Oryctolagus cuniculus: one gene and its partners. The protein of the gene in region 1 interacts with the protein of each later gene in a pairwise test. Links are inferred from orthologs where the notes say so. Each region holds a gene or a part of one and is shown on either strand. Other genes may lie near its edges. The genes, in order: AP2M1, FXR2, DVL2 and TGOLN2.

Region 1 (4,173 bases):
GACCTACATAGACTCACCAGCTAGGAACATTTATAGGCTTAAATCCCTTCCCATATCTTACTAGTCATCGTACCATATCCATTGCACCCAACAGTCTCTGGAATTTGGCCCTTTCTCTCCCCTCTTCCTCTACTTTAATTCACCGGAGCATGGGGTTTGGACTCTGGTTGTTCTGAGTCTGAATTCCAGCTCTACTACTTTTTGATTGCGTGATAGGAGAGTTATTTAACCTCTCTGAGCCTCAGTTCCCTCATATGTAAAATGATAATAATACCTACCTCACAGGGTTGTTGTGAGGATTTAAATTAGATATTGTACGAAAAGTGCCTAGCACAGTGCATGGCACAGAATAGAGTAGGTGCTCAATAAATGGTAGCTATTATTATTATTATCATTTACCATTATTATTTACTCTTAAGTTGGTAGGAGTTTAGGATGTGTTTGGAAGATAAAGCTTTTACAAAGGCAGGCATGAAGGATTAAATGCCTTCAGGCTGTGAGGGAGGTCAGATCTTCAGCCTACTACATACTGTCGTCTGGCAAGAGACTGCTAGAGACAGTAAGGTTTACAACCAGGTTTGCCCCTCCTTGCCCCTCCTTCCCATGACAAGCTGAGTCCTCCCAAGGAAGTCATCAGAGTATCTGTCTACAGAGAGAGAAGAACTGTTTCTTACAGTCCTTTAAGCACCAGGCAGGCCTTTTCATATTTGAAGGCTGGCTCTGTTTCTTCCTTTCACCTTAGATGTGAAGATGAATTCTGCATCCTTTGGCCAACTAAGTTCAACTTGCCAACATTTTCTAGGAAATGTATGCTTGTCACTAGAAGGTGCACACACAGAACGCTGGCACCCTCATGAAAAGCTTTAGCTAATAGCTTTCAAGTTTGCCTCCCACCTCCTGCCCTTCTGATCCCCAGAGAATGAGGCTCATGTCTGGAACAGATATATAAAAGCTTGGGGGAATCAGAGGTGGTGTTAGAAAACAATAAATTCAGCACAAACAGTTCTGCCATGTTGCATGTTTGTGCACAGAGTAAGAACAGCCAGTCCTCGGACTCTGGAGACAGAGAATGTCCTGCAGCAACCTCTGGCTTAGCAGATGGGACCCGACAAACTAATCCTCTGAGATGCTTCAAAACACTGAAATAGGACCGGGGGACAACAAAGACTACAATCCCCAGAATGCTCAGTGAGGAAATGAAGTGGGTGGAGCCGCACGTGCCGGGATTTGTTGGGAAGGCTAAGGCCACGCTTCCCAACCCCACCCCTCCATCCCCCCACCCCTCGGCCATACACACCCGCCCCAAGACGGGGGGCGGTCTCAAAGGCAATCGGTAGTTGTAGTCTTTCGAAACCTGTCGGCGTTTAAAATCGCCGGTGAGGAGCCTGACGGGATTTGTAGTCTACGCAAGAGGCGGAGGAGAGCGCGCACGCGCAGCCGAGGCCGGGGCGGGGCCGCGGCACTGCGGTGAAAGCCGAGGCAGCGGGCAGGCGAGCAGGGGGCGGGCGGACATCTTGGGATCCGAAGAGTGGCCGGGCCGGCCGAGCCCTCGGGCCGCGGACGCCAGGTGAGCGGGGGACTTGGCATTTCGGGGTGGGGGACGATGCCGTGGGTCGCCCACCCCGCCTCCCAGCGTTGCCCTTCCCTGCGCGGGGTAGAAAGCTGCCCACACCCGGGAGTGGCCTCAGCCTTCAGACCCGGGAGGGAGCTGACGGCGGGGCGGGGGCGCCCGGGACGCGGTTGCAGGAAGGGCGGGGAGCGGCGCCCTCCACCTGAACCGCCGGGCGCCTCTCGTGATGGGGGAGACTCCCTGGAATCCCCCCGCAGCAGGGCCGCCGCGCGGGCCTCCTCGCTGGGATCGTGACAACCCCCCGAAGCTTTCGGCGCCGCCGCCTCGGCGTAGGGACAGCTGCCCCGTCTCCCGGGGCACGGACCCCTGTGTCTTCTCCTTGGACTGTGACAGGTCTCACACTGGGCAGCACCCCGTCCACTCAGCTCAGTGACAACTCGGTGGCACCATGTCTTCCCGCGATGTCGCTTCCTTGGGGCGAAAAGCCCCACCACTCCTTCAGGCCTCTGCACATGAACCCCAAAGCAGGCTCCGTCTCCCCCAGCTTTCCCTCTTCACCGCTGTCACTCTTCCCTCCCGGCTCTCCCTCCCCCACGCCGTCACCCTGACCTTTTCCGTGCTGGAAACGCTCTCTTTTAGATGCCCCCACCGGGGCTGCTGCAGGTTCACCTGAGTAGCCGCTGGCTGCTGCCACCAGTCTTTTCCTTCAGTGAAATGTGCCGTGGAGTCCAGGGCCCCACCTCTGGTTCTGTGGCGCCCTGAGCTACCTACAACTTGATACCTATGGCCTTGGTCTATGCCCAGGGCTCTACCTCCATTTTGCATTTCTTTCCCTAGCCTCAACCGGCCTGAGGGATGGCGTTGTCGGCACCTTTGGAGACAACTCACTGGCCTGGGAGACCTTGATCTCACAGTAAAAGGCTTTATTTTCCCGTTTATTAAATTCTGCTGACCGACTCCCTGTGAAATTAATACCAGGGCTGATCCAGGAAATCTAGAACCAAATTAACCCCTTTTCTCCAACAGTCTCTATTAGTTTGACCTACATAGTTTGGATAATTCGGGCATTCCGACATGCTTGCCTCTTGCTTGTAGGTGCTCTGGCCAGAAGGGAGCTACTTGGTGCATCTGGAATCACAGTTCCAGCTGGAAGGATCTAGGAACCCATTCCACCTGCCCAGTCCTTATTTTTATTGCACTCTGGGGCCTTTTGAAAGAGGGGGTGTCAGAAATAATAGCTTGGGTCATTGGCGGTAGTCTGCCAGCACCTTTCTCCTCTGTTCTTTGCCTGCTTATCTGATTGCCTGGGAGAAGTTGGAGCCACACTCCCAGGTCCTTGTCAGGGCCTGAGGCCTTCTTTCTCTCCTCCCACCCCCACCCTGCACAGCCTTTCCTGGAATGTTTAGGCTTCTGAGGATTCAGCCCCTGCTGCCTTCCCGAAGGCTGGAAGGAGCCTGAGAGAGGGTGCCTCAGGCCGGAACCAGCTGGAGTGATTGCTACCGCCAGCCAGTCATTCCTGCAGCCGCAGGCGGGCCTTCTCAGTGACTCACTGGCATTAGCCCCAGTGAGAGTCTGTACTAGAGGGGGTTGGAAAGGACCCTTGCTGAGCTCAGCGCTGTGGAGGGGGAGGTGGGAGCTACTCTGGCTCAGCCCCAGAAAAGGGAGGGTCAATGGCCTTAGACTCCTGGGCCCTAGTCTCTCCTGGTTTTCCCCCATCTACAGTGGAATAAACAGGAACTGGAGCCTTGCTGAGGGGAGGGGCGTGCCTGGGAGGGCCACAGGGTCACTTGCTAGAGGGTTGAGTCAGGAAAAAAAGCAAGCCAGTGATCTGTGCAGCCCCACAGGGGCTGTTGGCCAGGCTCCTGAGGTCTTCCCTCGCCCCACCCCTGCCTGTCCTAGGTCTGTTCTCAGAGCGATGGGCCGCCGAGACTGAGCTGCCGCCATGATCGGAGGCTTATTCATCTATAATCACAAGGGGGAGGTGCTCATCTCCCGGGTCTACCGAGATGACATCGGGTGAGTGCCCTGGCTGAGCCAGCTGTGCCCCTGCCACCGCAGCCCTCCAGCCCCAGCATGCAGGACCAGGTGTGTGCCATCCAGAGGCTTGACTTGGGCCACTCTGTCCCCTCACTGCATCCTGGAAGCTCAGCTGCTATAGCCCGGGTCCCAGCAGGTCTGACATCCAGCTTGCCGGCCACTAAGTGGGACCTGAGCAGTGGCGTGGCTCCCGTAGCCCTTCCTCCTCCCATTTCCCCTGGTTACGAGCCTGGTTGTAGGAGATGAGTGCCGTCTCCCAGGCAGGCAGATTCCTCCCTTAGGGAAGTGGAGTTAGTGACCAGGCTGCAGGTACTAATCCTTCTGCGTCTTGCTCTCAAAAGCTCTCATGCTGAGCGCCTGCACTGGATTCTCTTGAAAGCCTCTCTAGGCTGCCGACTCCTCTCCCACTCCCTTTCTTAGGAGGTGTCAGGCTGCTGATTCAGCTGCTTTCGGTTCCTCTGGAAGAGAGGTTGTGAGCAAACTTGAGGCACTTCCAGGCCATTGCGGGAAGGGCAGGGAGGCCATGCTGTCCTTTCTGGTCCATAAGGGAAGACTCTGAGCCGCTC
Region 2 (3,560 bases), on another chromosome or scaffold:
CATTTTCTCACCTGAACTGTTCAGTGCATTCTGTGCTCTGCCTTCTGAGTGCCTTCCTCTTTCCTGTAGCTGCTCTAACGAAAACGTCCATAAAGAGTTCAAGAAAGCGCTTGGAGCCAACTGCATCTTTCTCAACATCACAAACAGTGAGCTCTTCATTCTGGTGAGTTTATTCTGCCTGAATTTCCCATAAGCCCTTCCAATAGTTTTTCCTTTTCCCCTTTTAACCTCTTTGCACAAAGGGAGGAACTGAAATATGCTTACATTTATCTGTTAGAGTTCCTTCCTTCCTTCTTTATTTACTTAATTAATTAATTAATTAAATGTATTTATTTGAAAGGCAGAGATTGAACTCCCATCTGCTAGTTCACTCCCCAAAGCCAGGAGCCTGAAACTCCATTTGGTTCTCTGGTGCCAGGGTTCCCAAGCATTTGGGCCATCCGCTGCTGCTTCCCCAGGTACATTAGCAAGGAGCTAGATCAGCAGTGGAGTAGCCAAGATTCAAACTGGTGCTCTGATTTGGGATGCCAGCATTGCAAGCACTGTACCACAATGCTAGGCACTTCAGCGTCATTGATTATTTTTTAGATTTATTTATTTAACTGAAAGAGTTACATAGAGAGCAAGACAGAGAAAGATTCTCCATCTACTGATTCACTCCCCAGACGTCTGTGACAGCTGGGGCTGGGCCAGGCCAAAGCCAGGGGCAGGAGAAGCAGTGTACTTAGTATGCTAGCACGGCACGTGGCAGTCCGACCTGCTGCACCACAACACTGATCCCAACTGTAGGGATGCAGGCATCCTGATTCCCAGTCCCCGGCTCTCCCCAGGTATGTATTCAAGTCAATTTTCATGACTTTCCATTGGTTTGCTTCCAGTCAACCACGGAAGCCCCTGTGAAGCGGGCGTCTCTGCTGGGTGATATGCATTTTCGAAGCCTGCGCACCAAACTACTACTCATGTCCCGCAATGAAGAAGCTACCAAGCACCTAGAGGTAATTTGTGGCTCCTCTCCCTCCTGCCAAAGGGTGTTCCTCCTTGTCCCACTGTCCACCCATGCTCTTTATTTATAGAGCACTAAGGCCCCCCCCCCCGGTTTTTTTTTTTTTTTTTTTTTTTTAAGATTTATGTATTTATTTGAAAGGCAGAGTGACAGAGAGGGGAGAGGTCTTCTTTCTGCTGGTTCACTCCCCAAATGGCTACAATGGCCAGAGCTGTGCCATTCTGAAGCCAGGAGCTAGGAGCTTCTTCCAGGTCTGCCAGGCAGGTGCAGGGAGGGACCCAAGCACTTGGGCCACTTCTACTGCTTTCCTAGGCCATAGCAGAGACTGGATGGGAAGTGGAGCAGCTGGGACTAGAACCGGTGCCCATATGGGATGCTGGCACTGCAAGTGGCAGCTTTACCTGCTACGCCACAGCGCTTGCTCCCCAAAAACAGGTTTCACTTGGCTGTTAAACCTGGATTGACTGTTTTGTTTCAAATTCCTCTAGATGACAGAGTTGTATCATGTTATGGTATAATCTTTTTATATTCATTTATTTTTGTTATAATTTGAGGGACAGAGGTAGAGATGGAGAGGAGAGATATCTCCATCTGCCAGTTAACTCCCTAAGTGGCTGCAATGGCCAGAGCTGGGACAGGCTAAAGCCAGGGCCCAGGAGCTGCTGCTTCTGGGTCTCCCATGTGGATGCAGGGGCCCAAGTACTTGGGCCATCTTCAAAGCAGATCAGCAGGGAGCTGGATGGGAAGTGGAGCAGCCTGGACCTGAACTGGCGCCCGTATGGGATGCTGGCGTCACGGGCTGTGGCTTCACTCTGTGCCGTGGTGCTGGCCCCGGCGCACTCATCTTCACACTTCAGCCACAGGCTCCTTCCGCCAAGTGAGATTTTACTTGAAGGCACAATGCATAAACAGATTAACCAGAGCAGCTCTGTCTAAAAGTGGAAAGGGGCATGGCTCTTACTGTCACTGATGCCCTTGTATCACCTCTGGAAACCAAACTACTCTGTGGAATATGTATGAGAAGTGTTTATACTCTGCTTAATACCACTGGGCTTGGCCTCCTGCCTTGCTTTGTCATGTAATTGTCCATTTGGCAAATCATTTGATTTCACTGGGCTTTCTCTTTAAGATTTACTTATTTGAAAGGCAGAGTTTTGGGGTGGGCAGGGAGATCTTTTCCATCTGTTCGTTCACTCCCCAAATGGCTGCAAAGGCTGTGGCTGGGCTGGGCTAGGCTAGGCTAGGCTAGGCTGAAGCCAAGAGCCTGGAACTCCATCCAGGTCTCTCATATGGGTAGCCGTGGCCCAAGTACCTGGGCAGTCTTCCACTGCTTTCCCAGATACATTAGCAGGGAGCTGAATTGGAAGTGGAAGAGCTTGGACTCCGTACAGCACAGTGCTGGCCCCTTGGCTGGAGTTTTCATCATGACAAAGAGGTAGTTAGACTAGAATATTTCTTCAAATTTTCGAGTCCTGATACACTGTTACTATCAGATTCCATTTCCTAGGTATTACACCATTCCAGGCGAGTACGAGGTTTTGTGTGTCTTGAACATGCATCCATTTATCAAGTGAACTGGTCATTTGGGGGGGGCTCGTCTCTGAGCCTGTGCAAATTCTGGATCATGGTGGTATTAGAGAACCATTTCGTCAGTGTAAGAACACCGAGAGGGCCGGTGCCACGGCTCACTAGGCTAATCCTCCACCTGTGGCGCCGGCACCCCGGGTTCTAGTCCCGGTTGCCCCTCTTCCAGGCCAGCTCTCTGCTGTGGCCTGGGAAGGCAGCAGAGGATGGCCCAAGTCTTTGGGCCCTGCACCCGCATGGGAGACCAGGAGGAAGCACCTGGCTCCTGGCTTCGGATCAGCGCAGTGCCAGCCGTAGCGGCCATTAGGGAACTGAACCAATGGAAGGAAGACCTTTCTCTCTGTCTCTCTCTCACTGTCTTAATTCTGCCTGTCAAAAAAACAAAAAAAAAACAAAAAAAAAAAACAAAAAAAACAACACTGAGAGGCATTTTAAAGATTTATTTATTTATTTGAAAAAGTGTTACACAGAGAGAGAGGGAGAGGCAGAGAGAGGTCTTCCATCCACTGGTTCACTCCTCAGTTGGCCACAATATGGGGAGCTACACCGATCCAAAGCCAGGAGCCGGGAGCTTCTTCTGGGTGTCCCATGCAGGTGCAGGGAGGAACCCAAGGACTTGGACCATCTTCTGCTTTCCCAGGCCATGGCAGAGAGCTGGACCGGAAGTGGAGCAGCCAGGACTTGAACTGGCGCCCATATAGGATGCTGGCACTGCAGGCAGGGGCTTTAACCTGCTGCACCACAGCGCCAGCCCCAAGGCCCACTTCTTAGACATAATAATTTGATCAAACTTTTTTTTTAAAGATTTATTTTATCTATTTGAAAGGCAGAGTTGTAGGAGGAGGCGGGGGTCTGCGGTGCACTGGTTCACTACCCACATGGCTGCAAGGGTCAGGGCTGGACCAGGCTGAAGCCAGGCAGGTACAGGGGCCCAAGAACTCGGGCTGTCTTCCACTGCTTTCCCAGGCCACAG
Region 3 (4,103 bases), on another chromosome or scaffold:
TCTCTCTCTCTCACTGCCCACTCTGTCAAAAAAAAAAAAAAAAAAAAGTAATAATAACTTTATTTTGACGCATGCCCACGCACCCTGTTTTGAAGCCCACGCATCCTTTTCTCATACTATGCATTTCCCATGAACGTTTTTGAAGCCCCCTCATGGCAGAGGCTCCAGAAGAAAGCCGAGGAGCTCCCACTGGCTCTCCAAACAGGGAGGGAGGCAAAGGGCCAGGGCAATGACTGGGCAGGGAGAGGCTACAGACAGATGAGGCTGGGAGCAGCCTGGGAACCCAGAGGGAATGGGCCCTTACCCAGGATACCACCCTTCCGTTGAAGCAGGGCAGGCGGGCATTGTCATCTGAAATTTCTTCCTTCACCACCCTGCCGGGAGACAGGACGAGGTCAGCGAGGCTGGGTCAGCCACCCCCGCCGCCAGCTTCTCCGTCTTCACCCAGCTCAAGGATGCCGGCCACCCCCTGCCTCGTTCCCCCTCTCTCCTAGGGAAACAACCTCCAAACCCCACTCCCACCACGTTTCGCCTGCTCGCCCCAGCTGGCCCTCAGGGGCAATGCTGCTCCAAAGACTTCCTGCAGCATGACTGGAAGGCCAACCCCTGTGGTTACCTGGTTGCCAGTGAGCCTTGCTGGTAGCCGTCCCCAAACCCAGCCCTGTTCCGTACACACCTTCCCCAACCTCATACAAGCTTCTACTCTCCCACTTCCCTTTAGTTTTTTCTAATCCACTTCCAGAGAGTGGTCCAGATGTGCTGTCTTTGTCAGGGGACAAAAGCCCATTAGAGGAACCAACAGCATCTCCTTAGGCTGAGAGCTGGGAAGAAGAGAGGAAGCCAGGCTTCCCGTTCCCCTGTGCCTCCCCTGGAAGAACTCTGCTCTCAACAACATGCTGGGTCTCAAGACCCCAAAGCCCCACCAGCTCCCCTGTGTTCCCTGTAGTGGACTGGACTTGCCCCCCTTTCTTCTCAACCACCCCTTGCAATCAGCAGCACCCATTCTGTTGTACACCACGCCCTGACCACGCAGCATTAACACTTGTTGACTAAACAAACAAAACACACAAACCAATAGATTCTCTGGTTTCTCCTCTGTCTCACAAACACACCCTCTCCCCTCCCCAAATCAGAACATCTTGTCTGATTAACCCTTTAGCCTAATATGCCTCTGGGAGTGTGTATATACACCAACTGAATCCATTTGCTAGTTATGTGACAACAGGGCCCAGCCACTACCAATCTGTTTCAGTGTAATTAGTGTTCTCCCAATATAACCCATCTTGGCACAGCTCAACCCACTCCACGGCAGGCTATTCTGTATCACCACAACCGAGTTTGTGGACCTGTGGGCCTCAATGCCAAGGACAACGATGACCACGCCCCAAGAGTTTCCCATGTGCCAAGCGCGGGAACTAAGCATTTCACTCTGTGATTATCTCAAATGTGAGAAAAATCAACGCACAAAGGTAAATGAAATTGCCCAAGATTACACTGCTGACCAATCCAAGAGCTTTGATTTAAGCCCAAGATAACTCCCAAGACAACTGTCACTCTCCCCACGCTGAACGACCTTTTTAGGCAGAGTCCAGTTTGTTCCGTCCCCCTAAAATCCAAGCCATCAACACAATCTAGCCAGCCAGTGAAACAACTGAGCAGTCAAAACAAGAGTGGTCATTCCCCAAAGTGAGAAAAACAAAAGGGCTTCGAATATGTTATTTACAGTCCCAGTCAAGTCCAGGAATCCCCAAATTACCCCAGGATAGCCCAATCTATTCTAGCACAGCCTACAACGTCCCTGCATGCAGCTGTCTGCACCAATATAGACTAGACTATCCCAATACAGCTGTCTGTATTAGCAAAAGCCCCAACAGCCTTATCTGCCCTGTACTAAGTGCCCCGATGCGTGCCGAAGAAGAGTTATTAGGTTAGGATCAACCAAGAGACCAGAATGACCCCAGCCCGTCCAGTAGCCCACTCCAAGGCAGCCTAGAACACCGCAACTTTTTTTTTTTTTTTTTTTTTGCATTAGCATGCATACACTCCATGGAGTCCCCAAACAATCCTGTCTCTGCCACAACGTTCCAACTGCCGCCAACACAAGCCCGGCTATGTCAAGAGACTGCAGGCTGTCTCCACACAAGCTGTGTGCTACAGGAAAACGCTCAGTCCCGACCACCCCAAAACCAACCTGCGCGCCCCCACCTATTCCATATGGCCCAATCTTCTCCACTTTATCGCTCCGTGTGCATCCATCTGTCCAGGCATAACCTTGTCCGTCCTGGGACGGCCACTCTGCCTCAGTGTGGCACAATCCGATCCACTGAAGGCCAGAAAACCCGTGTAACCCAGAGCAGACCCGTGCCCCCTGCAGAACGCCCCATCCGTGCGGGTACAGCCCCCGTCAGTCCCAGGCTAGGCCTCGCGCTCACCCGAAATCCTGATCCATGGACTTGAAAAAGTACTTAGCACCCGCGGGCCGCTGCAGAACGCTCTTGAAGTCTCCAAGGGTGATGCGCTCGGCGGGGACTGGGATCTTCACCAGGTAGGGAGTCTCCTCCTCATCCAGGTGGTAAATCACCTTCGTCTCCCCGACGCCTCCGCCCCCCGTGCTGCTGCCCGCCATGGTCTCGCCCGCGCGCTCCCGGGCTCCGCCGCCCACCCAGTGGGGCTATCTGCGGCCCGCCGCGCCTGCGCACACTCGAACCCCGACCGGAGCGCGGACGCGACAGAGCCAGTGTGGGCGTGGGGCAGCGGGGAGGCGGCGGGGTGCGGCAGGGTGGCGGGCCGCGCGACGCGCCCCGGAGCGGCGCACTCAGCCGCCGCGCGCCACCGCCGCCGACGTCGCGAGCGCCCTCCAGGGCCCCGCCCACCTCGCCTCATGTCACGTGGCCCGAGCCCGCCCACCTCGCGCTCCCTGCACCGCCCTTCGCCACGTGACCCCTCCGCCATCACGTGACTACTCGGCTCCTCCCAGCGCTCCCTCCACGTGACCGCTGCCTTCAGCAACGGTCTCCCAGCCCCGACCCACTCCGCCCCCGAGCGTATCCCCCACCGGAGGTCCTCCCGGCTGGCACCGTGTCCTGGGGACCTCCGTCTTCGGGGTGGGGGGCGCCCTGCGCCGTCCGGGCGGGAACGCGAAGCGACTGCGCACGACCGTCCGTGCAGGAGCAGCGGGACCGCGGGCGCGCGTGGAGGGAAGAAGCCGACGGAGCCCCTGGGGTTGTGTCCCGGCGCGGGAAGGCCCGGACGCCGAGGTGGGTTTGTGCCCTGCGGCCAGCTCCCCCAGAGCCTCCCCCCAAGCAGGACAGTCAGGGAGGGCTAGAAACACAAAGAGCCCACTCTGCTTTATTTACAACACGCAGGCTGTCTGTACAAACGGCTGGCCAGTAGTAAAAACAAGAGGTGCGTGAGGACCGTCACCTTGCCGCTCTCCTTGCTCGCTTGGCCAGGCTCACTCCACCTCTGAGCCGCCACGCTCGAAAGAGGAAGTCCAACATTAAAAATACAACCGGTGTAGAAGAAAATAAATTGGGAGTAAAATAAAAGATGAGGGAGGGGAATGCTATATTTACACTAGAGTTTATAGACAGCTGTCCCAGTCCATCCCAATTCCAACCCTGGCAGGTCCAAGATGCTGCATCCGGGGCCCCCGACAGCCTCCCACGCCCAACGCAACGTCCACTCCAGTCCACAGGCTGGGGAGGGAGGGGAGGGAGGGACCGTGAGACTCATTTCCGAAGTCTGCCTTGGGCGTTCCTGCCTTGAAGCGGGGACCACATCCAGACTCCAGGGGATGGGCTGAAGCCCCCGAGGCTCAGTTCCCGAATCGTCACTTGCCAGTTCCAGCCTGGAGTTGGCAGTGTCAGGGCTCTCCAGATTTGGGAAGCCCCCCTAACCGCCGCGCCTCAGGCCGCAGTTCCTTGCATTTCTGGCAATAAAAGAAGTCAGGGACATTGGTCTTCTTAATCTTAGCACAGGAGAGGTGGATCCACGTCCCACATAGGCTGCACTCGATCATGGGCCGCCCTGCGAAGGGCTTCCGGCAGTAACACGTGATCAGGTCCCATGAGTCATCACCTGGGGAAAGAAGGTTTGCTGGA
Region 4 (4,080 bases), on another chromosome or scaffold:
GTAGTACTTTACAGGAAATGACAGATGGAGGAAGGATGTTCTGGGCTCTAGCTTGCGAAAGTCTGTATGATTTATTCAAGAGTACTCAGTCTGGGGCAGGTGTTCGGCCTGGCGGTTACCAGCTAGATGCCCTCATTCCCTACTGGAGTGTCTGGGTTTGAATCTGCGCTCTGCTCCTCATTCCAGCTTTCTGTTCAGGTGCACCCTGGGAGGCAGCAGGTGGCGGCTCAGGAAGTCAGGTCCCTGCTGCCCACACTGGAGAGCTGGACTGCGTTTTGGCTCCTGACATCAGCCTGGTCCAGCCCTGGCCACCGAGAGCATTTGGGGAGTGAACTAGTCCACAGAAGCACTCGCTGCCTGTCTCTCTCTCTCAAAAAAAAAAAAAAAAAAAAAAAAAAAGTACTCAAAGATCTGCCAACTCTTCCTCAGAGAGCTCTAGGATGGCACGTTCCTTTTTTTAAAATCATAATCAAAAAGTACTTCCTATCCACAAAGTACTCTTTTGGCCCCCCCCTTTGCATCATCAGCTACATTATCACTGTCATTTCACTGCTGAGGTTACTCTCCATGATAAACCACTTGGATGTCCTCATTCTTTAAAAAAAAATTTATGTATTTTTTTTTTTTTTTTTGAGAGACAAACAGAAAGAGATCTTCCTGCTGCTGTTCACTTCCTAAATGCCCACAACAGCGAGAACTGGGCAGGCTGAAGCCAGGATCCCAGAACTCACTCCAGGGCTCCCACCTGGGTGGCAGGGACCCAAGTCCTCAAGCCGCCATCTGCTGCCTCCCAGGGTGCACAACAGCGGGAAGCTGGAATTATAAGCAGAGGCACCCCAACATGGGATGTGGGTACCCCAAGTGATATCGTATCCTAACTGCCCTGCCAAAAGTTCGCCCCATTTCCTCATTCTTTATAGCTGAAGATCTTATGGCCACAATTAATTGAACTCTCCCATTCTAACCAGAGTACTGAAGCTATCTTCAAAATTCTTAGGACTTAATAGGAAATGCACTAATTTTGTCATTAGGGTTGGTTGCTACGGGACACACCATTATTACTTCATACCAAATGCTGACAAAGTAAAAGATGTATGGATCTGTGCAATTTCTGGGTTTTCTTCTAGTTATGACTGTTCAAGAGGTTCCCTGGGCTTCTTGCTGTTGGTATAGGAGACTATGTCACTGAAATCATTCCTTCTGCCACCGCAGATGGAAGACAGGAGGTTGGGGGAGGAAGTCAGAAGTGCTGCACTGGCTCCAGAGTGGAGACGCGGGCAGAGGAGAGTTTTTCCTGCCAGCTCCCCAGGTACTCGGAGGCTGTGAAGGACCACGTCCAGGTTCTGGGAGGCAATCCCATTTCAGGGTGTGTCATAACACTGTCCTAACGTATAACCTAATGCAGGAGCAGAGGACACTGGGAACAGGAAGAGACGCATAATTTACGAAACCAGAGTAAAGAGCCCTTGCAGAGTCTTCAGGAAACACAGACATTTGTCTTAAAACCCCGGTGCTCTCCGGCGGCAGATGGGCGCCCAAGCTTGCGTTTGGGGGAGGGAGGACTGCGGAGTGGGGACAGGGCCCTCGGGCAGCTCCTCACTCACCTTGCGCTTGTTGTGATAGGCAATGTAGAGGACAGCCACGAGAACGGCCGCGGTCACCAGATAGGCAAAGAAGTGGCTGCTCTCTGCGCGGGAACTTCCAGGGCTGTCCTTGAAAAGCTCATCCTTCTCCCTGCTCATGGGATCCAGAAGCAGACCCTCGCGGGTCTCCCCGGAGGCAGGCCCCGGCATCTTCTCTTTCTCTTCCTCCAGGGGTGAGTCCTCTTCAGGAAACGCCTCACCTTCTCCAGCCTCCTTGGGCTCCGCACCTTCAGCAGGCTCTAAAGGCTTGTCCTCCCCCTCCTGCTGGGAAGAAGGGAGCTCAGAGTCCACTATCAAGTCCTCCGTGGACTCAGCTCTGGAAGCAGGCTGCGAGGTCCCTGCTTTGTCAGCCTGGCCGCTTATGCTGCTCTCGGGCTGAGTGTTACCAGGGCTGGGGTTGGAGACTGCCTTGCTGGACTGGTATTTCTCTGCCGTGGTCTTCGGCAGAGCAGGAGGCGTAGAAGCGCTGATTTTCTGGGGCTGCTCCGTAGTCGAAGTGCCAGTGTTTGCGCTTGTCCCCTGCTGCTCCTGGGATGAGTTGCCAGTGTTTGCGCTCGCGTTCGGCGACTCGGTATTTGAGTTGCTAGAGTTTGCGCTAACCTTCAGCTGCCCTATTTGTGAGCTGTTAGAGCCTGCGTTATTGGAAGACGGGTTCAAAGCGAGTACCTTTTCCGTACTATTTATCTCTGGCTCCATGTTCGAAGAGGAGGCTCCAGAGGCCGTAAGGGTAGTGTTTACGTTCTGATTGTCTGCCGAACTGGCATCGTCAGCTACTGAAATGGGAGAAACCAGGCCATTAGGCTTTCAGAGCGCAGATCGGGAAAAGCGGACTCCTCGGAGCAGGAAAGGATCAGGCGCAAAGGGGCGAAAGGGGGCAGGGGGGCGGCGGCGAGCGGAAGGGTAGGGGGAGCAGGAAAGAGGCGAGCCCAGACAGCGGCTGGCCGAGCTGAGGGTGGTGGGCTGGGGGGCGAAAGTGGAGTGGGCGGACAGAAGGGGGTCTTACCCGCCACTGCGACACTCAGCGCGACCAACACAACTAGGAACCGCATCCTGCACAGACTGTGCTTCCGCTCTCTACCAGTCTCGCGAGAGTCGCGCGCGGGACTCCAAACTCGTAGCCACGCCCCTTCCTGCGCGCGCCTCCGTGCCTCCGCCAGGTCTCCCCATTCGGGGGCGGGTCCTGGGGCTCAGCCTTCGGAGAGGTTGGAAGGTTATTTTTTTTTCCTTTTTTTGGCAGTGGCGGTGACTTAGACCCCAGTGGCGGGAGAATCTACCTCTTCCTGGTTTCCAGTCCCCATAGCAGCCATAACAGGCCATCCATTTTTGCTTCTCGCCCTTCGCACCAAGCGGGAGCTTTCTCGCCTCCCGTGGGTCGCTGGGCCCGGCAGCTCCTCGCCCCATCGTTTGCTCGCGTTTCTCGCCCCTCGCTTTCTTGTTCTTTCCCATCTAGAAACAAGTCCAGCCCATCGCCTTCGTCTGAGGTTGCCCAAGATCCTTTCCAAACAAGTGTTCTTGTTCTCATCAGAGTTCTAGAAGGAGAAAATAGAACCTTAGTTCCATCCTTCCGGCATAATCTGCAAATGTTTTAGAGTATGTGTTTGCCTTGCAAATATTTAATGTTTTTAATTAAGTAACACTAGTACATTCTTTGTTAATTAAAACTATTATTTGACCAGCTCTCTGCTATGGCCTGGGAAAGCAGTGGAAGATGGCCCAAGTCGTTGGGCCCCGGCACCCACGTGGGAGACACAGAGGAAGCTCCTGGCTCCTGGCTTCGGATTGAGGCAGCTCCGGCCGTTGCAGCCATCTGGGGAGTGAACCATCCATGGGAGATCTTTCTCTCTCTGCCTCCGCCTATCTATAACTCTGCCTTTCAAATAAATAAGTAAATTTAAAACAAACAAAACATGTGAGAGTGTGTATACAGACACACAAATTCCCAAGAATTGCCAGAAAGAAAAGTACGGAAACCATTAACTTAGTTGAGGAAGGACCCTTAAACCGAGGACCAGAGTTTATAGGTGTGTCTCAGATGAGGTTGAAGGGAAGATGAGCTTAGCTGCCCGTAGGCGGGATCCTGGCATTTTGTGCAAATGTAAAGACCAGGATTGTTGGATCACAACAAGGACAGTGGCAGGGAATGAGGCTGGCGCAGAGCCAGATTAAGAAGTTGAGTGATCTGGGAGTTGTCCAGAACATACATCTTTATTGGACACACAAGTACAACGGAAAATATGCCAGTTAACTCTGGTTGAACTGTAAACTGGTGCCACTCCTGCCCAAAAGGGCGACAGCTGCTAGGGCAACCATTCTCTTCATTTGTATTTGTTTATGGGACACGCAGTCCTAGTCAGTCAAAACTCTTAAGAATTTTAAGAATACTACACGGCACAAATATGATTTTCAGGCACAAGTGCTTTATTATTTAAAAACCTAT

Evidence for each region.
Region 2: the proteins of AP2M1 (region 1) and FXR2 interact in binary tests that used the Homo sapiens proteins (3 or more experiments, as listed by UniProt). The link is inferred for Oryctolagus cuniculus from reciprocal best matches to the Homo sapiens genes AP2M1 and FXR2.
Region 3: the proteins of AP2M1 (region 1) and DVL2 interact in a two-hybrid assay, tested with the Homo sapiens proteins (2 studies listed by BioGRID and IntAct). The two-hybrid records come from large-scale screens. The link is inferred for Oryctolagus cuniculus from reciprocal best matches to the Homo sapiens genes AP2M1 and DVL2.
Region 4: the proteins of AP2M1 (region 1) and TGOLN2 interact in a two-hybrid assay, tested with the Homo sapiens proteins (2 studies listed by BioGRID). The link is inferred for Oryctolagus cuniculus from reciprocal best matches to the Homo sapiens genes AP2M1 and TGOLN2.

Annotation. Positions count from the first base shown.
Region 1 is NC_091435.1:93,753,807-93,757,979, forward strand, and holds the start of AP2M1 (AP-2 complex subunit mu), read left to right. Parts: upstream 1-1,341; 5' UTR 1,342-1,567; intron 1,568-2,407; exon of another isoform or gene 2,408-2,483; intron 2,484-3,469; 5' UTR 3,470-3,512; coding exon 3,513-3,586; intron 3,587-4,173.
Region 2 is NC_091448.1:52,163,224-52,166,783, reverse strand, and holds part of FXR2 (RNA-binding protein FXR2), read left to right. Parts: intron 1-69; coding exon 70-163; intron 164-878; coding exon 879-995; intron 996-3,560. UniProt on the Homo sapiens protein: mRNA-binding protein that acts as a regulator of mRNAs translation and/or stability, and which is required for adult hippocampal neurogenesis. Specifically binds to AU-rich elements (AREs) in the 3'-UTR of target mRNAs.
Region 3 is NC_091448.1:51,839,453-51,843,555, forward strand, and holds the start of DVL2 (segment polarity protein dishevelled homolog DVL-2), read right to left. Parts: upstream 2,848-4,103; 5' UTR 2,627-2,847; coding exon 2,433-2,626; intron 375-2,432; coding exon 305-374; intron 1-304. Other genes in the region: PHF23 (PHD finger protein 23), read right to left, coding at 3,866-4,080.
Region 4 is NC_091433.1:117,293,750-117,297,829, forward strand, and holds the start of TGOLN2 (trans-Golgi network integral membrane protein 2), read right to left. Parts: upstream 2,808-4,080; 5' UTR 2,693-2,807; coding exon 2,647-2,692; intron 2,417-2,646; coding exon 1,605-2,416; exon of another isoform or gene 1,406-1,604; intron 1,310-1,405; exon of another isoform or gene 1,126-1,309; intron 1-1,125. UniProt on the Homo sapiens protein: May be involved in regulating membrane traffic to and from trans-Golgi network.